2 linked regions of the Rhinolophus ferrumequinum genome follow. The protein of the gene in region 1 purifies or fractionates together with the protein of each later gene. This does not show direct contact. Links are inferred from orthologs where the notes say so. Each region holds a gene or a part of one and is shown in the gene's direction. Other genes may lie near its edges.

Region 1 (3,905 bases):
GAAGGGTGTAGGCGGTCACGGCCACATCCAGGAGCGGCTTGGTCAGGTTGGAGTAGAGGTGGGCCACAGAGGCAGCAAAGGCCACCACATCTTCCGTCAGGGACTGGTCAGGGTTGCGGAGCCGCCCGTCCATGTTGCTGACTCTATAGTAGGTCTGCTGGGAGAAGTAGAGGCTGTAGGCATGGGCCACTAGACGGCTGCGGAAAGACAGCGCCAGCTGGCCCTCAAGGTAGCGGATGGCGCTGTTGATGAAGGTGGCTGGGAGGGCAATGAGGATCCATTGCAGGAGCTGCCAGCCAAAGGCCCGAGGGTCCTTTCGTACGATGCAGCGGGCCAGCCGTCCATCCAGGCGGGCCACATATACTGACAGGAAAGTCCGGCTCACCAGGGCGGCCGAATGCAGCGCCAGCAGCCCCGTCTCCCGGCACAAGATCCTGGGGAAGAGCAGCCTCAGGAGCCACAAGAGTCGCTGCAAGAACACCCGGTTCACACCGGCCTTGGTTGCTGCGGCCACTGTGGCCCCAGAGGCCTCCTGTGTGGACTCCCGTGCAGGCACCTGAGGGGCCCTGGCCGGAGCCAGGCACTGCCGCACCAGGGGGTAGATTTTGTGGGCTCCATAGGCTGTGAGGGCCAGGACCACAGCTGTGCGCTTCAGCGTGGTCACCCGCGAGGCCCGGGGGGTGGAGAGCACCGGCATGTCACCTGGGCTGGACGCACGGGGCTGGGACTGGTGCCTGAGCCAGCAGTCCAGGCAGGTGGCTAGAAGAGTTGTTGCTCTGACCTCGGCTCGTTATCTAGGCAACTGGAAACCTTGCAGTGGTCCCTGAGACTGTAGCTCTAGGCCACTGGGGCGCCCCTGGTGCTCAGATCCCTCCAGGGTCGCGGCCTCTTCGGACAGACGAGGTGGAGGAACTTGTCAGTCTCCTAGCCCTTAGGGTCAGAGCCTCGAGAGGGCTCGGGCAAAGAGGGCGTCTCTTCCTCTCCACCTCCTCCTCCTCCTCCCCTGGTGGCGCCCCTCCCCGGGGCACCAGGCGCGTACGTCCTCTCCGAAGCCTGGCTGAAGCGACAGTGATTCCGCCACCCGCCCAGAATCCCCACCCACCCACCCCTCCCCAGGGCCGAGTCGGGGGAAGGGGAGGAGGCGGAGGAGGGGCGGGAGGCGGAGCTCGGGTGCAAGGCTTCCCACCCCGTTCTTGCCCCACGGTCGGGCCCCGCCCCCTTCCCAGACCACAGAGACTTGGGAGGACCGCGCGGGCTAGAGAAGCGGCCCCTCGTGTTCCCGCCAAGGCCCCGCCCCTCTCCCTGCGCGCTTCTTCTCCAGTCCTGGGCGTTGGCGCCTCGGCTCGGGGAGGCGGGGTGGAAAGCGGCCGTGGGCGGAACCTTCGGGTCCTCTCTTGGGTTGGGGAAGGGGCAAGGCCGTGCGAGCGCTTCCGGTTTCCGGCTGCGGGGGAAGGGGTGGGGCCAAGGCCCGAGTAGGAGAGTTTGGCGGCAGCGGCTAGGCGTGCGAGGTGTCTGTGGGAAGCTCGGTGAGCTGGGCCGCGCGCCTGGGTGGTCTCCGGGGTCGCCGGTGTCTCCCATCCCCTCGACGATGGAAAGCGGCGGGGAGCCCCGAGAGGCCCGGGGGCGCAGGGCTGGAGGCCGAGCCGGGAGTGCGGAGGCAGGGGCGGGTTCGGGAAAGTCGGAGTGGCGGCGGGCGGAGCTGGGCTTTGGCGGTGTCAGGGCCGGCCGCGGGGGGCGGTGGCGAAGCCCCTCCGGAGGAGTCGCCGGGATGGGACTTGGGGAGGGCGTGCCGGGCCAGGGCCATGTAGGGGGGTCGCGCGCGGCGGTTCCCGAGGCAGGTGGGCACTGTGGCTGACCAGGGCTGCCAGGAGGAGCTCTTCTGGCTTCTGAGGACAGCTTCTTCTAGAACTTTCTCTAGATGAGTCCGTGAGGTGCTTAGTGGAGACCTGCATTTGCTCTTGGCCCCGATTCCCGCCCTCTAGGAGTCGCTCTTCTGGGCTTTTTTGAGGTACTTCTAGTCCTCCAGCCCCATCGGAGGCAGACGCGGCGGCAGTCGGAAGGCCTGTTAGCCTCCGCTCTAGCCCCAGAGGGAGCCGCTGGGTTTTTCCAGCTCTGTTGGAAAGGGCTGGGAGGGAAGGGCCTCCTGTTTTCCCCAGGTGGGGGGTGGGGGCGCCTCGGCTTTCAGAGAAAGTGCGTTGCTGAAATACTGCCGCCTCTGGGCTGCCTAGGAGCTGGGAGCCTCTGCTGCAGAGCTCCCGGTGGCTGGGGGGGGGGCGGGGGGAACGGGCCTGATGGGTGTTGAGAATTTCCTTGTCTCTATAATCTTCCCTTCTGTCTGTGTCATCTTCTTTATTAAAAAACGCGTTCTCACTTAAACAGGCATAAGGAGTGTCTTGGGGAAAGAGGAATTGGTCCAGAAAAGGTGGCTCTGGAGCGTTAACACACTAGGGGGTAGCAAAGTCACTCCGCCCCTTCAAGTGGCAGTTGGTCGGGCATTTGAGCACTATTGTCAAGTCTCCCTGCTGAATCAAGCGCCCGTTTCAGCCAATGCTTTAAAGACTGGAGTCGAATGCTGGGGTACAGGGTAGCATGGCCGTTCCAGCTCTCATGACTCCTGTTCCTTCTGTGCCCTGTCAGGAAACAAGCTCCCATCTCCCTGTTGGAAACCTAGCAACAGGATGAGTCTGCAGTGGACTGCAGTTGCCACCTTCCTCTATGCAGAGGTCTTTGCTGTGCTGCTTCTCTGCATCCCCTTCATTTCACCCAAAAGGTATGGATGGCCTGTGGAGGAAGGAGGCAAGCAAGTAAGAGCCCTGTAGCTTATGTGTGCAAAGTTGGTGGACCCTGGAAATGGGGCCAGACAGAAACAGGTAGAACCTGTCGGGGTGGGGGTGGCAGGGGTTGTGTTTACCACTGCCAACCTTCCACACCATTCAGCTTTGTCACATCTTGCCGAGTTCCTTTACTGTGTACCCTGTCTCCTGGTCTTGAGAATGCCCCAAAGGGGAGAAGACCCAGCTCTGATTACGGTTCTGGGAATGATGCCCTCCTGCCTTCCCTTGGGTCCCTGAGGTTCAGGGCATGGCAGTGTGGGATCCGGAAGACGTGCACCACGGGGACATGTTGTTGCTGATTTAGTGACTTCTGTCCTCCTAACTAGTCGCGCTGGCATTGTGTAGTAGCCTCATGAGCATTACTCAGCCCGTGAAGGGTGAAGCAATAGTCCCTTTCGGTGAGCAGAGGGCCTGTTAAAAGTTAATTGGAAATTAATTTTTAATTACATATAATATATATGAACACATTGTTCTGACTTAAAATAGAATGTTATCAATAAGGCTGAGTCTCCACAGCTACTTTTAAAAACCGTTTTTAGTGAAAAATACAGACACCTGATGTGATGCAATCGGCAGTATCCTAAGGACTGCCTAAGGACTATTCTCGCCAAAAGCCAGAGCTGAATCTTCACAGCTCACACAGTTCAGAGGAAATGGCAGAGACAGAGGCCCCTTTGGAGCTGCAATCTGGGAAGCTTTGTGGGGCAAACAACTTGTTGTCGGCAAAAAGTAAATTGGGAAAGGAAACAAAAGGGGGTGTGGGAAGGGGGAACTTATAGAGTGAGAGATTTAAGTTCTCAACTCATTGCAGAATCAGAAGCTTGTTGGTATGGATTCAAACAAAGCAGCTATTAAAAAATGCAACAGTTAGGCGCTGGGATTCTGACTCTGATAATGAGGGATTTTTACTGATTTTCTGGAGGTCTGGTGGTGGCATTGTGATTACATTAACCATTTCCGAAGGTTCTCTGATAGAGGTGCGTTCTCAAGTCTTCGTGGAGGGAAGCGAAGGGAAGCGAAGGGAAGTTGGCTCTGCTTCATGATAACCCAGGGTGGTGGGATTCTAGGTGA
Region 2 (3,905 bases), on another chromosome or scaffold:
TCACTGGAAAATTCTTGAAACTTAAAGAGTAACACCAATTGTACATAATCTCTTCTAGAAAAAATAGACGGGAATAGCAACTCATTCTACGAAGCAGTATTACTCTGATACCCAAACCAGACAAATACAATGTATAAACAGAAATTACACATGAATATTTCATAACTATAGATGCAAGAACTCAACATATACTTCATTTATATATCAAAATGTATTAAAGATATATGAGCGGGGTTTATTTCGGAGGTGCAAGGCTGGTTTAGTATTTGAAAATCAATGTGTTCCATCATGTGAAAGGCTAAAGAATATTTGGAATGCTTTCTTCTCAAAAGGAATGCATTCATATAGAGGCGGGAAGGGGTGGGGGTGGGGATGGGGGAACTGACATTCACAAGCACCGATGGTGACAGAACTGTGCTCAGTCCCTGGGAGGATGACCTAGGTGTGCAGCCTGTGGTGTAGCTCTTTGTGGAATTACCTACCGTTGCTAAAAGGGCCTTAATAAATATCAGATGACTTTTTAATATGCTGCAACTTTTCTGTTTTGTTTTCTCTTCGAGTGTTTGTAAACCTTCACGTGAGTGCCCACGGGGGAGGTACTCTTCCAGAGTTGACTCAAAGTGCTGTCAATCATTTAGGATTCACCTTAACAATATACTGTTGAGCCAAGCCAAGAAAGACACTAATACAAGAACTCGCCTAGCCAATGGGTAACAGCGGAGTACATCAGTTACAGAAATAATTAGAACATTTCGCTTTTTATAAACAAATAATTTTCCCGGGTTTGTTTTTCTCCTGTGAGAACTGGGCAGTCCTGGGGGGTGGAAGAGGTAGTCAAGCAAAATTAGAATTACAGTTTGTTCTGGGCAGTACACTTGTTTCACGGAGGCTAAGGGACGGCACTGCATGTTTTAACGTCCACGAGGCTCGTTCATGTCTCTCGTCACGCTAATAGTTTATCCCTGAGACTCACAGAGGAAAGACTTTGTTACAAATTAACCTCCAGGTCTGGCTGATCTGCCTTGATTGGAAAACCACGACGTTTTTGATGTGCGGTCGCTGCCCGGGACAGTGGACTCTGCGCTGGCCCCTGTGAACCCTCCTTTGACAGCCACGCCGCCTTGCCCACCCTGTCACCCTGTCACCCAGGTCACACCCCACCAACCCGCCTTCTGCGCAGGCGCAAGGGAAGCCCCGCCTCTCCCCGCCCCCCACGCATTCCAACAGCCGTGATCGTTGGAGGGCAACTTCTGTAACCAATCAACAGCTGCTCTGCTGGGGGGCGCCCAGGGCTGGTGGAGCGCGTAGGTCAAGGGCGGGCCACTTGAGTGACACGGACTCCGGCCAATCATGAGAGGCCGTCGCTGGCCGTCCCCTCAGTGGCGTCGGCTGCCCTGCCCCCGGCGCGGGGCCGAGCCGCGGGGAATGTCCCGGGCCTGGCTGGTTGAGACGCGCGCTGTGCTCCTTCTGGCTCGGCTGGTGTCTGCAGGGCCTGAGGCTCGCCGCGTTCCGAAATGGCCGAGCAGTTGGACAAGACCGTCAAGTACTACACCCTGGAAGAGATACAGAAGCATAACCATAGCAAGAGCACCTGGCTGATCCTGCATCACAAAGTGTACGATTTGACCAAATTTTTGGAGGAGGTGAGTTAGTGAGGCGCGACGCCAACCCGGGTGTGGAGGTTCCCAGCCTGTCGTTCGCTGCGCCGCAGGGATGAGGTGCGCGGCTGTGTGTGCGCCCCGACTCTGCTCACGCAACGCTACAGCCCTGGGAGCGGTCCCCGCGCCTGCACGCCTGTGTGTGCGTCCCCGAGTCCGCATCTCTCTGTGCGCACCTATCTCTGCACATCCGGGGTCAGTCCCCGCTTGTGCGCCTCCGGAGTCTGCACACCTGTGCGCGCCCACCTGGGAGCGACCCGAGGCTCCTAGGCCAGCACGACTGCGCGGCGAGCCGCTGTGGGGCAGGCGCTGCCTCTGGAGCCTCTGCGGAAGCGTGTGGGAGAGCGCCGCCCCGCACTTAGTGGGAAGCGAAGGCGCGGCTGCAACTGCTTCCTGAGCAGTGGGCGCAGCTAGGATGAAGCATTTGGAAAGATCCTTTTATTCTTGGGTTATTCATAGCTGGAGTCTCCACCTGGGACAGGGTCGTCCCACTTCTGTTATTCCAGGAGTGGATTCCTAATAGGAGCAGTTTGGAGACTACCCACTTCGGGAGCTGTGGGATCCCACAAGAGGGGACCCTGAGTTGGTTCAGAGGTCAGAGTGTGTGGGCCGCACCCGCTCTCTCAGCACGCATAGGCCCACTCCACCATCCACGCCTACACCCACCCACTTTCACCGAGAAGGCACTCTGTAATTGTTAACGCATCGCCTGAGGACTTTGCAATGAGGTACAGTACCGGCCCCCTGGGACTGCCCGGCTGGGTGTGTGGCTGGCCCGGCTGAAGAAGGAAGGGAGAGGGACAGAGAAGGAAAAGCACAGTGGGACTTGATCCTTCCTTAAGCAACTTTGGAAGTTGTGAAATAACTTTGCTTAACTTGAAAACATTCCTTTGATAAGATTCTTTGCGGTAGGTAAGAATGTTTGCAGTAAATTCTGAGGGGCTTTTCTTGGCTACCTCTTTTATCACTGTGGGGGAGTCTGAGTCATAAATCTTAATGAACACTTACCTTCCTTCATCCCCCCAGACAATAAAGGAGAATGTTTCCTGATGGGAATTCTTTACGTAGTTTGAGGGGATCGCTAAGACAGAGGCCTGGTCTTAGCTGAATCAGGGGACATCCACGGACTTTTGTTTTGCACAGAATTTTTTCTTTTTAATTGTTTTTAAAAAGGTTAGTGTTGAAGTTTATTAGAAACATATTTAACTATGAACTTGCCATTCTGTGGGGTGCTGGAATATAAAATAGGGCCCCAGTTTAATTAGGAGTGGTTTCTGGTTGGGAATCAATCAGAACTGCCCCGTCCCTTCTGCTGAACTGGAGTTTATTTGGCATTAGAGTTTTTTGAACTAACAATCTCAAATATAACATCAGGTGTAATAGACACCAAATGTCTACTTTGCAGTGGTTACCCACCCCCATGATATAAGTAATTTTGAGTTTTTAACATTCAGTGTTACTTTGTTTGTGTCTATTAAAAAGAATAGTGTTTATACACGAATAATGGGCTATTTTATATTATGAAGCATTTATCATTTTTTTTCTTTTTGTTGGATTCTGTCCTATACGTTGTGTTGTACTGGACTCCCAGGCCTCCCCCATCAGATGTTAGTAGCACCCCCTCCCCCACTAGGGACAACCAAAACTGTGTCCAGTTATTGCCAAATGTCCCCTTGGGGACACAAATCATTCCTAGTCAGGAATCCTTGCCCTAAAATATGTTTTGCATAACTTCTAAGGGTAAATTTCTCGGAAGGAGATAATTAGAGAAGATTATTAAACCTGACTATAAACCATTGACATTTCATTTTTATGAGCCTCCCTGGGACTTGAGTTTGGGTCCCTGCTGCTCTCTGCTCTTCATGCCCTTCGCTGCTCTCTGCTCTTCATGCCCTTCCTTCTGATCAGTGGATGCAGTATCTGCTGAGCTCTTGTAGCCTCCGTCTCCCTCAGGAGACCAGAACCCGAGAAGCCATTTCCATTCCAGGAAGCAGGAATAACAGAAAACAATGCTGTGGGCGGGACTGGTGACACACAAAGCTGTGTTCAGCTGTCAGGAGTGGCCCCAGACGGTGATGGGAGAGTCCGGCGGGCTCTAATAGACGGGACCTCAAGTCAGCGTGGGCAAGAAGGGAAAGAAAGGACCAGCTGGCTCACAGACCAGGAATGCATTGAGGTTGAAGTGGAAGGTGGCCGACACAATGGGAGTGGACCCCCCAACCCCTAAGGAGGATGGCGTGCAGGGGG

Evidence for each region.
Region 2: the proteins of BCAP31 (region 1) and cytochrome b5 purify together in Homo sapiens (co-immunoprecipitation; 4 studies listed by BioGRID and IntAct, with this or other methods). This does not show direct contact. The link is inferred for Rhinolophus ferrumequinum from reciprocal best matches to the Homo sapiens genes BCAP31 and CYB5A.

The regions. Positions count from the first base shown.
Region 1 is NC_046284.1:6,695,460-6,699,364, forward strand, and holds the start of BCAP31 (B-cell receptor-associated protein 31), read left to right. Parts: upstream 1-1,375; 5' UTR 1,376-1,526; intron 1,527-2,637; 5' UTR 2,638-2,678; coding exon 2,679-2,770; intron 2,771-3,905. Other genes in the region: ABCD1 (ATP-binding cassette sub-family D member 1), read right to left, coding at 1-697. UniProt on the Homo sapiens protein: Functions as a chaperone protein. Is one of the most abundant endoplasmic reticulum (ER) proteins.
Region 2 is NC_046302.1:56,994,608-56,998,512, reverse strand, and holds the start of cytochrome b5, read left to right. Parts: upstream 1-1,399; 5' UTR 1,400-1,514; coding exon 1,515-1,643; intron 1,644-3,905.